3 linked regions of the Macaca fascicularis genome follow. The main gene of each other region encodes a partner of the protein of the gene in region 2 in a complex. Links are inferred from orthologs where the notes say so. Each region holds a gene or a part of one and is shown on either strand. Other genes may lie near its edges.

Region 1 (5,841 bases), on a different chromosome or scaffold from region 2:
AGCCAACCTGAACATTGGAGGAAAATCAATGAATTTGCTCTAAAACTCATACCTCATGTATCTGCATTCTAAAGTTTTTTTTAAAAATTGCTTTGAATTACCTATTGTAGAATTTCTTTGCTGCTGCAACTACCCAGGGAGGTGGCACAGCTTAGTAGTTAATTAAACTCTAACGTCACATTTCATTCATTCATTCATTCATTCATTCATTCATTCATTCATTCATTCAACAGATCTACATTGAGGGCCTACGATGGGCCAGGCACTGTTCTAGGCACTTAGAATACAGCAGTGGAGAAGACAGACAGAAATACCTGGACTTATGTTTTTGCAGTAGAAGCCAGATGATAAACTATCAGCACAGTAAGTAAATTACACAGCATGTTAGAAAGTGATATATTATGACCAAAAAAATATAGACCTGAGTGAAGAGGATCAGCAGGAAGGCCGCCATGGTCAATAGGGTGTTCATGGTTGGTCTCACTGCAGAGGGGACATCTGCATTGAGACTGGAAGAAGGTAAGAAAGTTACCCGTGCAGACAGCTGGGGTAAGTGTGGTAGCGGCAGGAGGAAAAGCCCATGCAAAGGCTCTGTGGCAGGGCCCTGCCTGCTGTCATAGAGGAAATGCAGGAAGGTCCACGTTTCTGGCACAGAGTAAACAACAGAAGAAGAGTAGGAAATGAGGTCTGAAAGGGTACAGACTCCGAATCAGGTCAGAGCCTTGTCCCCAACTATAAGGGTTTTGATATTTGTTTACATAAAAAAAAAAAAAAAGAAAGCCACCGAGGGCTCTGAACAATAGGACCCCGTTTGTTTCAGAGGGATCACTTTTGCTGCAGTGCTGAGAGTAGACAGTAGGGGGCAAAAGTGAAGCAGGAGCACAGCTGGGGAAGCCACGGAAAATGCAGGTGTGCGATGAGAGTGGCAGCGGCAGAGGCGTGAGAACCGGTCCAATGTTGGTCATGTTTTGAAGACAGAGCCAATAGGCTTCCTGGATGGACTGGGATGGAGTGTGAGAAAAGAGAAGCGCCCTGGATAACACTATGTCGGGAGTGGCTGCCAATTGAGACAGAAGAGTGTGCCGGGGACAGGTTTGGGAGAAGATAATTAATTCCTTTTGGCCTGTTAAGTCTCGCTTGAGTCTCAGCTCTATTACTAACTAGCTTTGTGACCTCGGGCAAGTTATTCAACCTCTTTGAACCTTCATTTTCTCACCACAAACTAGGATAATGATACCTAATGATTAAGGCTGATGTATGAATTTCAATAAAATGTATGTAAAGCACTTAGTGCGAGCTAGGTATACAGTAAGCACTCCATAAATGGTGATTACTGCTGCATTTTCCCTCATCAAAATCACCAAGAGGTTATACAGACCAATTTATTGACTGAGTACCTGGGACTAAGCTCCTGGGACTTGATGACCACCAAGTTCATGTTTGAAGCCTACGATGTACAGGGCCCTCGGGACCAGTGCTGGGGACAGATCTATGCATGTTAGTGACGCACGTCACTCTTACGTGACACCAGTGGAAGAGGTCCACGCAAAGGGCTCTGTGAGGACTGCTTTCCTACAATTCCTTTGGAGATTTCACAAAAAAGATATTCCCCAGATTAGTAGCACAAGATATTGCGTTAACATCCTGTCCCACAAAGCGTGTGAAAGGAGGGATTTTCCTCTCAGAAGTTACTGAGTCTTGACAGCACAGAAACTGCCACTTGCCAAGTTCAGAGTATGAGGAAAGAAATGTAAAGACATTTGAAGTTATTAATAGGTCAGCACTTAGTTTTTTCAAAAAAATATATTCAAAATGTGTTAATTCTGTACCCTAAAATATCCATCGCCTTGAGGCAGGACCTGGGTCAGGGGTATTGCTGACTGAATGCTCTGGGGAAAAAACTTGACACAGAACGTCTCTCTCTCCTACAGGAAGGCAGAGAGAAAGATGGACTAGAGCCAGAAGGCAAAAGCAAAGAGCAAACAGTAGATACAAAATCTGAGTTCTGGCTAGGCGTGGGGGCTCACACATGTAATCCCAGCACTTCGGGAGTCCACGGCAGGTGGATCACTTGAGGTCAGGAGTTTGAGACCAGCCTGGGCAACATGGTGAAACCTTGTCTCTACCAAAAAAAACCCACAAAAAATTAGCCAGGCATGGAGGTGCGTGCCTATGGTCCCAGCTACTAGGGAGGCTGAGGTAGGAGAATCACTTAAATCTAGGGTGGGAGAGGTCACAGTGAGCAGAGATTACACTACCATACCTCAGCCTGGGTTACAGAGCGAGACCCCATCTCAAAAGAAAAAACAAGAACAAAAAAACTGGGTTTTGCCAGGCATGACATCCTAGATACCTAGGAGCCTGCAGTGGGTGGACTGCTTAAACCCAGGAGTTCAAGACCAGCCTGGGCAACATAGCAAGACCCAGTCTCAAAAAAACAAAAACAAAAACAAAAAACCAATCTGAGTTCTATCCGGTAAACACTGCTGTGACTTCTGACTGCAATGTCACTTCTCTCCCAGGAAATTTTCTCGTCTGCAAAATGGAGGTACTCCCACCTACCTCACAGAATTGAAATGGGGCCATGTTGCTTCATAGTAGACCAAAGATTATTCATGATCTTTTTCTCTTCCCTTCCCCTCCTCTTTTTTTTTTTTTTTTTTTTTTTTTTTGTGGGGAGGGTCCTAAATTTCTCTCTATAAGAAGAAGAACTTAACACTTCATGAGAATCAGCATGATGGAGTGATAAGAACTAAGGGTGGAGATCAGGTTTGAAATCTTACACACCCTCCCTAGAACTATTGGGCAGTCATGAATCTCTTGAGTCTGAGCTTCCTCTTGGCTACTGTTACCTTTTTGGAAATCACTTGGTCTCCACCCTCCCAGTACTTTGCACCAAAGGCAGCTCAGTGGCTGCACTGCCTAACTTCTCAGGAAAGCTCTCTCCCTCCCTTCTTCTGCTGAGTCGGTGAGTCATTTCCTCTTTCTGAATTGAAATCCTAGGTTATTTATATTGTGGAGTAGGGGAGTCAACCACAGAGAGTAAACAGTAAAAGAGAGAATTTATCGTCCAAATGGGAAGTGATTAGGGTATGAGTAAGAATCACAGAGAGGTTGGGCCAAGGAAATGTTTAATAATAATAATAAAAAAATCTTGCTAGAGTTATTGTAGGCCAACCAGGAAAGAAGTAATTACATTAAAAGAAAAACAAATAACAAGTTGAAAATTAAAAAAAAAAAAAAAAAAATCTTCAGTGGCAGTAAGCAGGAGACTAACTAAGCAAGTCATATACATACAGGAAGAGAAAAGGGCCAAATCAAATTCTGTAACACATAACAACATTGGCCAGGCGCGGTGGCTCACACCTGTAATCCCAACACTTTTGGAGGCCACAGGTGTGTTACTTGAGCCCAGGAGTTTGAGACCAGCCTGGCCAACATGGTGAAACCTTGTCTCCATCAAAAATACAAAAAAATTAGCTGGGCATGGTGGCGCACGCCTGTAGTCCCAGCTACTCAGGAGGCTGAGGTGGGAGGATTGCTTGAGCCTGGGAGTTTAAGGCTACAGTGATAGGTGATAACACTCCTGCATTCCAGCCTAGGTGACAGGGCAAGACCCTGTCTCAAAAAAAAAAAAAAAAAAAAAGAAAAGAAAGAAAGAAAGAAAAGAGAAAAGATATCAACATTACTGTGTGTGCGAACACCAGCTGAATTTCTCTCTCACATTATGCTCAAACTCAGCAATTATTTCTTTAATTACATAAGATCTGTATCATCATTGCAAAAACATACCAGTAAAAGTTTCAGTACAGGGGTTTATGCCAGCAAGCCTCTTTGATGTCCCGAAGTCAGAGATCTTGAGAACACCACTGTAGGTATTAATCAACACATTGTCACCCTAGAGAACAGAGGACTTTAATCACAAATGTTATCTTTCTTCAGATACTGTCTATTGTTGACTTGGTAAGTCCAATTAAAAAAAAAAAAAAAAAAAAAAAGGTGTCCTTACAGCAACCAACAACATAATTCTGTATTCTTCATTAATAGTTTATCTCAATAGTGAATTCTTGACACTGTTTTTTGTTTACATATTATCAGTTTGAGACCAACTGCCTTTGCAAAAATTGTAACAGTGAGAAAATTATGACAGTAAAAGAGAACTGATCTAACCACCACCATCTTGCCTTAAATTTCCAAACTGCCCTTGGTCATTCCAGGGTGTAGACCAAGCTCACTTGGAGAAATTTAATTTATAATTTATAGTTTAGATGATAATAGCCCTTCCCCAAAACTAAACCATCTTTGTAAAACTAATGAAAGGCCACCAGGTTAACAGGATGAGAGGGGCCTAAAGTCCACTAAGATGTAGGCATAGCCAAATGATTATCAGCCCACTATTCTGGGGGGTCACAAGATTTGCAACTCCTCCAATTGTTCCTATAATTGACATCACTATTATAGAACCAAAGACTGGCCTTTTGAAATGTCTTTACAGGCTTCTCCATTTCTGACTATCAGATGGCATCACCCAGACCTGTGACTCTGGACTCAGCCAGTCCTGTAGCCCCCACCCAGAACTGGACTCAACACATAAGAACTATTTTCCACACCTGTATAATTGCATCCCCAACCACCCAGACCCTAGCCCCCTGCTCACCAAACTATCTCTGGAAAACCTTAGCCTCTAAATTTTTGGAGCGGCTGATTTGAATAATTATAAAATCCAATATCTTGTTTGGCCATCTCTATGTGTATTAAACTCTCAGTTGCAATTCTTACATCTTGAGAAATCAGCTCTATCTGGTCAGTGGGCAACAGGAACTCATTGGGCGGTTGTAAGTTCTTCATAATCTGCTACTCAGATCACAAGATCAAATATGATTCCTAACTGGTTAGAGCTTGTTGCTATTTACAGAGATATAATGATGTATGTATAATTAAATTATGATTTTCATAACTTTCCAGTTACTTTATTTTCTTTTCTATGTTTCTTTACTTCTTTTCCTGGAATATGTAGAGGCATGATAGATAAATGGGCATTTTGGTTGATTTTTAGGGTAGTAATATTAACTTATTTTCAATAGTCCACACTTTGTAAAAAATGTATTAGTTCTGAATTTTCTTTTTAAAAAGAGAACGTAAAGTTATTATTTTAGCTTATTTTAGAGAATCTATACCTTATAATTATAGTTCAATCAATGAATATGTGATACTTGTGAGAAAAGGGAATTTTTTTTTCTTCTAACTATTCATTTATTGATTCAATAAGTATTTACTGAGTAGCTACTATGGGCAAGGATACAAAGATTAACCAGCCTGTAAGTTCCTCAGGACCAGGGGCCATCTCCCATTTAACTTTAGACAGCTGCATCCCACACCACAGAGTTCCTAGGAAACATTGTGTAGTGGGAGCACAATCTTGTTGGCTGAATGCAGTTAAGCAGTTTGTTCTTTGAGCAAAAGCATTAAGACATGAACATAAAGAACTGATTCAGGGGTAAACGATTTCTTATATTTCTGCTGTTTCTAAGATTTACTTATTCACCATTCTAAATTAATACTCATAACACAATATGACTTTTGCAAGTAAAATAATAACCCAGCAAAGAAAGAACTCATGAAAATGAATGCTGGTGCACCTTACCTTTATGTCGCGGTGAACTATCTGATTGTCATGGAGATATTTTAATCCTTCCAGTATTTGCTTTGTATAAAAGCCAATTGTTTGCTCATTATCTTTTAATGGACCCCATTTGGAACGAAGGAGAGCAGAAAGACTTCCTGTAAAGTAGGGATAAATAGTAAATAAATCCTCATTCAAATGAGCTCTTTAAAGTGTAT
Region 2 (5,941 bases):
TTTACAGATGAGGTCCTGAGTTCCAAGTCACTGCTCCCTCTCCCCTCCACACATACTCCTCAGACATCTGAGGGCCCAGGCCAAGACCACTTGCCCACACCACTGATAACAGTGAGTTGACTGTGAGCCTCCCGTCCCCTCCAGGGGGGACTAGTACCTGGCTGATCAGAGGGTTCCTGCTTTGGGAAACAAAATGGGCCAGATGAACTCAGGCCCTGGGAGCAGGAGCGTTGCCCCGGCCCTAAGCAGGACTTCCTGGGTGGGAGTCCCTCACCCCCAGAACCCGTGGACCTGGCTGTGGAGGTTAGTCATCCCTGGAAGTGCCACGGTGTGGACAGGTGGCGCTCGGAGCCCCACCTGTGTGAGGAGGCGCTGAACTGGGTTCTGGTGGTTTGGCCAGAGGAGGATGCATGCTAAGAAGGTCCCCCCAGCTTGCCTGGGGACTGAGTGACTGCGTGTGGGCTCTGTCCATGGGCTTCTTTTTAAAGACGTTCCTGCACCATGTCTGCTGTGGAAAGGAGATAGGGCAATGCCTCCAAGCTTATCCAACCTGCAACCTCTACAGGCTGCATGTGGCCCAAGATGGCTTTCAGTGCTGCCCAACACAGATTCATACATGTTCTTAAAACATTATGAGGTTTTTTTGTTTTTGTTTTTGTTTTATCATCAGCTGTGGTTAGTGTGAGTGTATTTTATATGTGGCCTGACAATTCTTCTTCCAATGTGGCCCAGGGAAGCCAAAAGATTGGGCACCCCTGGCCTAACCTGAAGGAAGCTAAGGGTGTCCTCTTGGGCACCCTGGTTTTCCATCTTCCCCGTGGGATTGGAAGAGGGGACCAGGGCAGCTGACGGCTCCGGACTTCCCAGACTGGATTTGGTGGAGTAACACCCCTCCTGCCCCTCCCCCCTGGTCAGGGAAGGCGCCTGGCTTCCAGCTGTGAGACGGGCTCCTCCGGACTAGGGGCCCTCCCCGCTGGCTGAGAGAGCTAGGGAGGGGGCTTCCTCTGTGACGTGCAAAACCCGGCCTGGATTTCTGCCCAGACGGCCCGGCGCCCTCCAGGGACCCACCTTTCTCCCACTGTTCTGGAAGAAGACCCCCAAGACGGCCTCAAGCACCTGCGGTGACTCACACTCACCCCCCACCCCTAAGTTTGAATGTTGAGAGCCCCAGGCTAAGACCACTTGCCTCTGCCACTTTCCATGTGGCTGAGGCAAGACCTCCTTGCCAAGGCCTCAGTTTCCCCCTCTGTACTTCAAAGGGTGCAGCTCAGGCAGGTGTCTTAATAATTTAAACGACGAATGTTGCTAAAGGCATAAGGGGCGGGGAGAGGGAGAGATCACTGTGGGCCATGGTCAGGGAAGGGTGGAGGAGCTGGGCCCTGAAAGGGTGGACTTTGATCAGGTGGAGAAAATAGCCAAGAAGGCAGTCCCTGCTGGCAGCACAGCAAAGAGAAGTGAGAATTAGGGAGAGCGGAGGTGAGGCTGGAAGGGACTTTGGTTGGGGCAAGATTATTTGGGGTCCAAATAACAAGGAAGGATGTTTAGACGTATTGCCATTGTGCTCTGGGGAGCCATGGAAGGTTCTTCAGCTGAGGAGTGACTTGGAGAAAGCTTTTCAGCCAATCCAATAGAGGGAGTTGGCACCTTTCCTTATGCCACCCTGAGTTTCTGGTCCCTATAGTAGGGTAGGGATTATTCTGCCCCGCCTTCAGTGCTTTGAGTGCTTGAAACACACACCATAATTTTAATTATATAAAAATGACATGTGTATCAGACGGGACAACCTTTAAAATGTAAAGAAGAGGCAAGTATCCTGCATCACAGGGAAGTCTTTCAACCTGGCTGGGCCCGGGCCTGCGGAGCAGTCAGGGTCCTTTCTCAGCCCAGCGAGCCTGGGGCAGGAACGCACACTAATTGAAGGTGACGGTCCCCACGCGTGCCATCCTGCCCTGGGCTCCGGAGGGCGCACAAGCAGGTGTGCACCGTCTACCCGCGCTGGCGGGATTGGGTGCCTGGTGCGCCCTCAGGTCGACGGTCGAACCCTCGGGCGCGGGGGTAGGAGCCAGGACCCTCGGGGGGACCCATCTGGGGTCCCGGGGAAACTCCGGGCCGCCTCGTCCCGCTAACTCCAGGCCGGGATTTCTCCCGCACTGACTTTCCGGGCCGGTGCCAGCCCAGCCTCCCGGTCCCCAGCCCCCGCCGCGGGGCCGGCTGCTCTAGGAGCGGGAGTGGGCAGGAGGCGGAGGAGGAGTTTGAGCGACTTTGTGGGGCAGCCTGGGCCTTGGCGGCCGCTCGGGCGAGCGCGGGAGAACGCGGGGGCGCCCGCCGGGCGGTCCGGAGTGGCCGATGGGGCCCGTGTGAGCGCGCCCAGGCCCGGCCCGGTGCCCGGCGGGCGGCAGCATGTCCGCGGGCGGCAGCGCCAGGAAGAGCACCGGGAGGTCCTCCTACTACTACCGGCTGCTGAGGCGGCCCCGGCTGCAGCGACAGAGGAGCCGCTCCCGCAGCCGGACCCGGCCTGCCAGGGGTAGGCGCCACCCCGACCCCTGACCCCTAGACCCTCCCAAGGCCACTAAGCCACCTGATGCCCTGGGATGCTAGGGACCGGCATCCTCCTTCCAGCCATTTGCCGGGGGTTTTTCTCATCCGCCCCTTCCTGAGTCTCCGGACCCCCCACTCCTCCCGCTTCTGCCTAGTCCTCCTCTCTCCGGGGGAACCTGAGGCTCTAGGGTCTTCTTTTAAGCCACGGGCAGGGAGAGGGGAGCCTGGAATCTTTCTCCGCACCTCAGATCAGACCTCCTACCCCACTGTGCCTCAGTTGACTCAGCAGCCGGGCAATAAAGTAACCTAGGGTGGATCTTGGCTTTCCCACACCTTGCCTTCCCAGCCCTGGCCGCGGACTTCTTTCTTCCATTTCCAGGAACTTAAGGGGCTCCCCACTCTTGGGTGCTTGGACAAGTGGGTGGACCTCAGGGAAGGAACCGGGACCCCTCGAGCGGGTGGGCGCCAACTCCTTTGCAAAGTTTCTCTCCATCAAGCTCATGAGGCAGGACGAGACGGAGGGGGAGGTGCGAGCAGCATTTTCTTTTTCCAGTAACAGGATCCTCGGCTGGAAATGCGTGTGATCCAGGGGGCTGCGTTTGGGCGGGTGGGGGCCGGGACTTCCTTCCCTGGCGGAGTGGGAGGGAGGGAAGCCCCCTGGGAGGAGGAGGCCTTCAAAGGGGCTCTGGGGAGGCTGGAGTCCTGGGCAGAGGTTCAGGCCCACCGAGGGTGCCCGTGGGGTGGAAGGGAGGAGAAAGACGGCGCCTTAGCCGGGACCTGGGCCGAGTTGACACCATCAGGTCATCTTGAAAGTGGGAAGCCGGGCCCTGTGCCAACAAATGCCATGCAGGGGCCGCATTCCCACCCTGCACGCTGCCGATGTGTGACCTGGGCTGAGCTGCCTCTGAACTTCAGTTTTCTTGTCAGTGTGAGGGTAAATGAAGCAGGCAGGCAGTGTTCATTTGCTTCCCCATTCCCACAGTCAGGACTGAGCAGCAGTCCAGGGCTTCCTCAGAAAGTGGTGACTTCCCCGTGCGCAGAAGGGTTCAAGCTGAGGTTAAGGGTATGCACAGGTGTGTGCTGGTAGTTCAGTCCTCAAGGGTCTCTCAAAGCCTGTGATCCCCCAGCTCCTGCCTTTCCTGAAGTCTTAGTAAGTACAGAATTAACAGTACTAAGCCTTTAGTACTCCCTCCCCCTGGAGGGAGTACTAAAGACCTGGGGAAAGGCTTTGTCTCAGAGGTTCAGGTTTTGATTCTTCTATCTCTGTCCTTCTATCTCTGTCCTTCAATTTAATTCTGTACTTTCTAAGACCTGGGGAAAGGCTTGTACTATCAATTCTGTACTTACTACCTCCCCCTGGACTTGGTCTGGGAGACTGGGAATCTGAGCTCAAGCTTTGTGACTTTGGGCAAGTCATTTCACCCCTTTCTGAGCTTAGTTTTCCTGGTTGTGAAATGGACCTGCCATATGCGGAGGATTCAGTGAAGAAACTGAGAAATGGGAGCTGTGAAAATGCCCAGTACTGTTTAGACCACCCTGGGGCCTCTCCTTCTGCACCCACCTCACGTCACCTCACCCCCTCCGCCCGCCCCCCCTTGCCTCAGAAATGCCCTGCATGACCTTTCCCTCTTCTCAGCTCAGCCCAGTTCCATCCCTGACTGTAACAGGAGTCCCACTCCTGCTCAGCTGACCGGGCAGGGGATAATCAATGTGTCAGGGGCTGTCACCTGAGCCCCAGCTCCCAGACCCCACATGCACAGGATCACTGCTTTGTGTCCCCGCCTTAAAGGAGCTCACAGCCTGCAGAGAATGGGGAGGAGACTGTCTCTGAACAGAAGTTATATCTGGGGAAACCAGGGAGAGCTTCACAGAGGAGGTGACATTTGGATGGGATCTCACAAAATGGATAGGATTTCCCTTGGCAGAGGGAGTCATTGAGTCAGATCTGAGTTCAAGCCTCAGCTGTGCACACAACTATTCTTCAGCCAGTTACCTCTCCAAGCCTCAGTGACGTCGTGTTGTCAGTGGGGCTAGCAGTGACAGGGTCATGTGAGGGCCAGAAGCCAGTGCCCGGGACTAAGGCTGAAGCTGAGGGTGAGCTACTGTCCTCTCTCTGGACAGAATGAACAGACTGTGCAGTCAGGGAGAAGGAAAACGACTTGGGTGTTGAGGATAGAGTTCCTACTGGGGTTGGGGAGGAGGGTGGATTGGGAAAGGGGCTGGGTCGGTGGGTGGGGAAGGGCAGGCAACAGTAGTTTGGATTTGATAAAGGGCTTTGAACTTTGGGAGGCCAAGGCAGGAGGAATCCCTGAGCGCAGGAGTTCAAGACCAGGCTGGGCAACATAGCAAGACCCGGTCTCAATATTTTTGTTTTTGTTTTTGTTTTTTTTTAAAAAAGGCATTGAGTGATGAGGAGTGAGTTAGAGCTGCAGCCAGGGTGTGGGGTGGAGGCTGGAGGCACCCTGTCCTCCTTGGTGGGAGGCAGCTGGGGCAGCCATTGCCCTCTCTCCACTAAAGCCTCAGACACCTGACTCTGCCCCAGAGCCACAACCACCTGCTGAGGGCAGGGCCCCACCCAGGGAGAAACTCAGGCTGAGGAAGCTACCCCGTGGCCTTTGAGCCAGTCCCTTCTGACCTTGAACTTCAGTCTCCCTATCCATCTGGGGACTTGGTCCCATCGTATGGTAGCATCAGACCTCAGAGGAATGGGTGGTGCCTAGCATCTCAGCTTGGATCAGACTCTTGCCCCCACACCCTTTCTGGCCTCTGGCACTAGTATGGAAGGAAAATGACCAAGAACTCAGGCTGCGTATTTGTTCAGAAACAGAAAAGTGCAAGGAAGAGTTGGTAGCTGCCAGGTTCTGCAACTGGCCAGGTTGGGGGAAGGGACCAGGGCTTTGTCCCTGGTAGGGCTGTGAGTGAGGGACAGTGTCTGCAGTCTCCCTAGTTTGACCCAATAAGGGGCTTAGGCTCTACCCTTTTCTGGGCTTCCGTTTCCCCGTCTGAAGAACAGGCAGAGTGAGACCTGCTGTGGTAGGGGGTAGAGCACGAAGCTGGAGGGTATCTGGAAGTGGGTTAGAAACACTGACCTTCAGAGGGCGAGGGCCGTTTGCCATTTCCCACTGTATCCCTGACTCCACCTGAAGGCTGGGCATGCCCTATGGATTTGGGGGGATCCTGTCCCCCAAAGGGTGTCATAAGCAAGGTGCCTCCCCACCTAGTCACACCAAGAAAAGTTTTGTCTCTGACCCATGTTTCCCCAGGGCTGCTAGGAGAAACAGAAATTTTCCTGTAGCCCTGGATAAAGTTCTGATCCTTTCATTCAGCCAGCCAGCAGCTCTTAAGCACTTACTATGTGCTGGTCTTCAGCTTGGGTGCCGGGGCACATGGAGATGAATCACAT
Region 3 (5,841 bases), on a different chromosome or scaffold from region 2:
TGTTTCAATGAACTAATTTTTTCAGTATAAACAGATCTAAACAACTAATTCAGTCATTTTAGGAATAAAAAGTTGAGGCTGCCTGTGTTTTCAAAGTACTTAGGTGTGTCTCCCACTAAAATGTAAGCTCTGTGGGAGCTGTTGTTACTCCCTTACTGCATCCCGTGAGCCCAGGTTAGAGCAAGACCTGGCACCCTGTGAGTACTCAGAAAATAAAGGTTATTGACTATGGAAATGTTGCTTACAAGTACAGGAAAGCACAAAAGTTTTTCCTTTGAGTGTCAATAAGCCAACTTACTAAAATATATATAAATTTTAAATTGTCAGGCTTAAATGCTTTGCTTTTTCTTAAGAATTCTGTGGCTAGAGAATAAGGAGAGGTAATGGCCCACTGTTAAATAGCTGGATTTATTTTCTGATTTATCAGAGATCCAATGCCTAGCGTTTCATTGAGAACAGTGAAAGGTGGAATCACCTGATCAACATTCGGTCCCTGTGTCTCCTCTAGTGTCATTTCCTTATGTGTTGCTGACATGAGACAATTGGGCACAGTCAGCTTTGCCAAGAAAAAGAATGGTGAATTCTGATCCTGCCTCCCAGAGACCCTAAAAATTTGAATTATATTACCAATGCAAACCACCAACCTGGGGACACTGGATGAACTTGGGCCTTAATCCTTAGTACATCTTCAGTTTTGTCCATTCCTTATTTTTATACTCCATCCATCCTTGATTCTGTACAATCTTTGACTTCTGGAAAAGAAGTTTGGTTATGCTGTTTTATAAGAGACCTCTTTCACTGGGTGGTTTCATTTGTTTTTCAGTCTGCTCCATCTGGACACAAGCATCTGACGGTAGAAGAGTTATTTGGAACCTCTTTGCCAAAGGAACAGCCAGCAGTTGTGAGTCTGGATTCAGAAGAAGTGGAGAGATTGCCAGGAGATGCCTCCCAGAAAGAGCCCAATTCATTCCTACCATTTCCCTTTGAGCAGTCAGGAGGAGCCCCTCAATCAGAAACCCTGGGTGTCCCTTCTGCTGCCCACCACTCAGTCCAGCCTGAAATCACCACCCCGGTGCTAATCACTCCAGCCTCCATCACACAGTCCAATGAAAAGCATGCCCCAACCTACACAATCCCGTTGAGTCCCGTTCTCAGTCCCACTCTGCCATCTGAAGCTCCTACTACACAGGTTCCCCCCAGCTTACCTCGAAACAGCACCATGATGCAGGCAGTGAAGACCACGCCTAGACAGAGGTCTCCACTCCTGAATCAGCCAGTCCCTGAGCTAAGCCATGCCGGTCTGATTGCCAGCCAGAGCCCCTTCCGGGCCCCACTGAACGTGGCAAACACAGCTGGCACATCCCTCCCAAGCGTTGATCTTCTCCAGAAACTCAGGTTGACCCCACAGCATGACCAAATACAGACACAACCACTTGGGAAAGGTGCAATGGTAGCCAGCTTTTCTCCGGCAGCTGGTCAGCTGGCCACACCTGAGAGCTTCATAGAGCCTTCCTCTAAGACAGCAGCAGCGAGAGCAGCAGCCTCAGCCTCCCTGAGCAACATGGTGCTTGCTCCCCTTCAGGTAATGGCAGGAGGGTGGGGGTGGGCATAGTGGGTAACTATAACTGGATGGGATGAAACTACAGACCTTGGTTTTAACTGTCATGACACTGACAGTTTTGAAGAGTTGTCCCTTTAAAGTATGTCGGGCTAGGAGACAGCTGAGGTAAGAAGCCCTATCATGAACAACCAAGTAATTTATTTTCCTATCTGGATATGCACTTTAGCAGAGGTTGTATGTTTGTTTTGCTTTTGCCCAGCATTTCCAGGAGTCCTCATTTGACTCAGGACCAAATTATTCCAAAGCTTAACTCCCTTCCTATCTCCCACAGCACTCTCCTAGAGTGCCTGCCTTGTGCCAAGTACCCTAGAGGTGCCATAAGAGCATCCTAGACTTGAAGGTATGAGGTCAAATAAAGCTGATTTTTTTCAACTGTCCACATTTACATCACCTTATCAAGAGGTGCCATGCTGCCTAGATCTCTCATCTCTATCTCTACAGACTCAACAGCAAAAATATGCCCAGGCTGCAGGACAGACATCACATGTTCTCACTTTATTTGAACTCATGGAGATAGAGAATAGAAGGATGGTTACCAGAGGCTAGGAAGGTAGGGGGAGGTGGGGATGGTGAATGCATAAAAAAAAAATAGAATGAATAAGACCTAGTATTTAATAACACAACAGGGTGATTATAGTCAATAATTTAAGTATATATTTTAAAATAATGAAGAGTATAATTAGATTGTAACACAAAGGAAAAATTTGTGAGGGGATGGATACCCCATTTTCCATGATGTGATTATTATGTATTGCATGCCTATATTAAAACATTTCATATACCTCATAAATATGTACACCTATGTACCCACAAAAATTAAAAATTATGTATATTCCTGGGCTGTCTCTGGCTCTTAGAAGGGATACAGGTCTCGGGCTTTTCTTTAAAGATACCTGAAAGGCTCTGCACACACCCCTTCTCTCCGGAACTAAAGAAGAGAGGCTGTCGCAGAGCTCTCATGCAGTTGAATTGTTGGCTGCATAGTTGAAAGTTTCTGTCACACTCTTCCCTTGGGAATCTAGGAACTAGTTAATATCTGAACCATTTTCTATTACTAACCTAGATTTTCCACTGGGAAAGTCTTCTTCAATTAAGACTAGGAAGTCTTCTTAATTGAAACTTCTTATATCCATCTATCTTTTCTTCATAAACGTTTCAGTCTATGCAGCAGAACCAGGATCCTGAAGTATTTGTCCAGCCTAAGGTGTTATCCAGTGCCATCCCGGTAAGGACTTGCTTTTTCTTTCTTTTTTTTTTTTTTTTTTTTTTTTTTTTAAGACTAGTCTGGTGCTATAGTGAGAAGGTAGAAAGAGTAGAACAAGGAATTTGATCTGTAACTGACTGTGAACAATCAGTTGAGCTAACTCACTACCTTTGGACCAGCCAGGACTCCCTCTTTCTAAAGGATACATTATGTATTTTTAAGTTCTTCTGCTGGATGTGAAGTAAAAGGTTGTCAGCTTAGTGAAAAGAGTTAGCTATGGAGCCCAGCCCATCTTAGATGCCTTTCCTAGGCCAGGCACCTCCCACCCCCGTCCTGGCAGAGTCCATTACTGTGGCCTCTGTGGATCTTGAGGCATCTGCATGGATATCTTCCCTGACTGTGTGTGTAGAGGGCATGGTGGGCCCTTACTCAGTATTTGTGAACAGGTGACTGCTAAGAGTGTGGTAACCTGGCTTATAAGTAGGAAATATTGCCCTGGAGGAGCTGTGATGTCCCAGGTGGCAGAGCCACTATCCTGCTACAGTCCTCTCATTTCCCATTGCTCTGAGAACAAAGCCTCCCAGGCCTGTGTGTTCTGTCCCGTTTGTCCTCCCTTGCTTCGTTTTTTGTTGTCCCTACTCTACATCACCCACTAACCTTGCAATGCACACAGGTTTTTTTAGCTCCCTAAAGTCATTTCTGTTTTCCTTTGAGCCTTTGTGCCCTCCTTGAGTCTTGGAGTTTAAATGGGAACCAGCTTCTGACTGGTCTTATATCTTGGAGTTTAAATGGGAGCCAGCTCCTGACTGTTCTTGGAAACGAGCCTCTTTTCTGTGTGTCTTGTCCTTCTGCATGGTGATCTATCTGCAGGAGCTCTCGGCCTGCTTTTGCACCAAAAATAAAGAAAGGGTAAATAGTTCAGATGCCAAAAACCATACCCTTGAAACTGGCCAGCTCTGTGCTCTTTGTAAATGAGAAAGTGACATGTAAGAGAAAGAAATGTAGATGTCTGTTGATTGTATCAGATCTGAGGATACTGAAAATACTGATGATTACTGGTTTTTTTGGTTTTTTTGGTTTTTTTTTGTGTGTGTGAGACGGAGTCTCGCTCTGTCTCCCAGGCTGGAGTGCAGTGGCCGGATCTCAGCTCACTGCAAGCTCCGCCTCCCGGGTTTACGCCATTCCCCTGCCTCAGCTCACTGCAAGCTCCGCCTCCCGGGTTTACGCCATTCTCCTGCCTCAGCCTCCCGAGTAGCTGGGACTACAGGTGCCCGCCACCACGCCCAGCTAGTTTTTTTTGTATTTTTTAGTAGAGACGGGGTTTCACCGTGTTAGCCAGGATGGTCTCGATCTCTTGACCTCGTGATCCGCCTGTCTCGGCCTCCCAAAGTGCTGGGATTACAGGCTTGAGCCACCGCGCCCGGCGATTACTGGTTTAATATATTCAGATAATTAGCTGGAATTAGCCTAGAAGCACATCTAAATGGAGGAGAGAGGTAGATGTTAGCTTTATTTTTAAGAAATTTTCTCATTGCTTTCTATAATGGTATAAAAAAATAGATTGAACATAACTGGATTTGGAGTTTTTGTTTTTGTTTTTGGTTGTTTTTTTTTTTTTTTTTTTTTTTTTTGAAATGGAGTCTTGCTTTGCCGCCCAGAGTGCAGCTCACTGCAACCTCCACCTTCTGGGTTCAAACCATTCTTCTGCTTCAGCGTCCCAAGTAGCTGGGATTACAGGCGCCCATCACCACACTCTACTATGTTTTTGTCTTTTTAGTAGAGACGGGGTTTCACCATGTTGGCCAGGCTGGTCTTGAACTCCTGACCTCAAGTGATCCTCCCACATAGGCCTCCCAAAGTGCTAGGATTACAGGCATGAGCCACCGCTCCCAGTCATAACTGGATTTTTAAATTCTTTTTTATTGCAGTATGATTTACATACACTGAAATGCAGATTTTTAGAGTCCAGGCATGGTGGTTCACACCTGTAATCCCAGCACTTTGGGAGGCCTAGGTGGAAGGATCACTTAAGCCCAGGAGTTCAAGACCAGCCTGGACAACATAGTGAGACCTCATCTCTTACAAAAAAATCAAAAATGAGGGGAGGATTGCTTGAGCCCAGGAAATTGAAGCTGCAGTGAGTGGTGACTGCACCACTGCACTCCCACCTGGGTGACAGAGTGAGACCCTGCCTTAAAAAAAAAAAAAAAAAAAAAAAATGCAGATTTTTTTTTTTTTCTTTTTTTTCTTTTTCTTTTTTTGGAGACAGAGTCTTGCTCTGTCACCCAGGCTGGAGTGCAATGGGTGCAGTCTTGGCTCACTGCAACCTCCACCTCCTGGGTTCAAGCGATTCTCCTGCCTCAGCCTCCCGAGTAGCTGGGATTACAGGCGTGCACCACCACGCCCGGCTAATTTTTGTATTTTTAGTACAGATGGGGTTTCACCATGTTGGCCAGGCTGGTCTCGAACCCCACCTCGGCCTCCCAAAGTGCTGGTATTACAGGCATGAGCCACTGCGCCCAGCCAAACAACACAGATTTTTAAATGAGTTTTTGACACATGTATGTATTATCCCTTAGGCAACCCAATCAATATGTAACATTCTGTCACTCCAGAAAGTTCCCTCATGTCCTCTTCCAGTCATTTCCCCAACTCCCCTCCCAAAAAGCCTTTACATTTTGAATTTATCATAGGATTTTTCTTACTGTGCATTCTATACCGTTATTTCTCTTACCTTCTGTGGCAGTTGGACTTGGCTTCCCGTAACGATTCTAGGACGTTCTTATATAAATGGGCTCGTCATCCCTTAGCTCACGGAAGTTTATAACCAGATGCTAGATGTTCAAATGCTCCTACTGAATGTTTACCTGAACCCGAAACAGTCTGTCTCTGGGCTTCACTCTTCTGCTGCTTGTGCCTGTTTCCACATGCTCCTTATTCTGGGCCTGGCTACTGGCTTCTGCACTTTGGTACAAAATGACCATTGTTCCTCTCCAGGTTGCAGGCGCCCCACTGG

The links. Proteins that work in one complex are often made in the same cells at the same time.
Region 1: DAB2IP (region 2) and MAP3K5 share a complex: the UniProt entries of both Homo sapiens proteins name them as parts of the cytoplasmic complex. The link is inferred for Macaca fascicularis from reciprocal best matches to the Homo sapiens genes DAB2IP and MAP3K5.
Region 3: DAB2IP (region 2) and DCP1A share a complex: the UniProt entries of both Homo sapiens proteins name them as parts of the cytoplasmic complex. The link is inferred for Macaca fascicularis from reciprocal best matches to the Homo sapiens genes DAB2IP and DCP1A.

Annotation. Positions count from the first base shown.
Region 1 is NC_088378.1:40,661,576-40,667,416, forward strand, and holds part of MAP3K5 (mitogen-activated protein kinase kinase kinase 5), read right to left. Parts: intron 5,782-5,841; coding exon 5,645-5,781; intron 3,899-5,644; coding exon 3,793-3,898; intron 1-3,792. UniProt on the Homo sapiens protein: Serine/threonine kinase which acts as an essential component of the MAP kinase signal transduction pathway. Plays an important role in the cascades of cellular responses evoked by changes in the environment.
Region 2 is NC_088389.1:36,322,980-36,328,920, reverse strand, and holds the start of DAB2IP (disabled homolog 2-interacting protein), read left to right. Parts: upstream 1-2,258; 5' UTR 2,259-2,400; coding exon 2,401-2,524; intron 2,525-5,941. UniProt on the Homo sapiens protein: Functions as a scaffold protein implicated in the regulation of a large spectrum of both general and specialized signaling pathways.
Region 3 is NC_088376.1:116,420,972-116,426,812, reverse strand, and holds part of DCP1A (mRNA-decapping enzyme 1A), read left to right. Parts: intron 1-823; coding exon 824-1,582; intron 1,583-2,780; coding exon 2,781-2,846; intron 2,847-5,822; coding exon 5,823-5,841. UniProt on the Homo sapiens protein: Necessary for the degradation of mRNAs, both in normal mRNA turnover and in nonsense-mediated mRNA decay. Removes the 7-methyl guanine cap structure from mRNA molecules, yielding a 5'-phosphorylated mRNA fragment and 7m-GDP.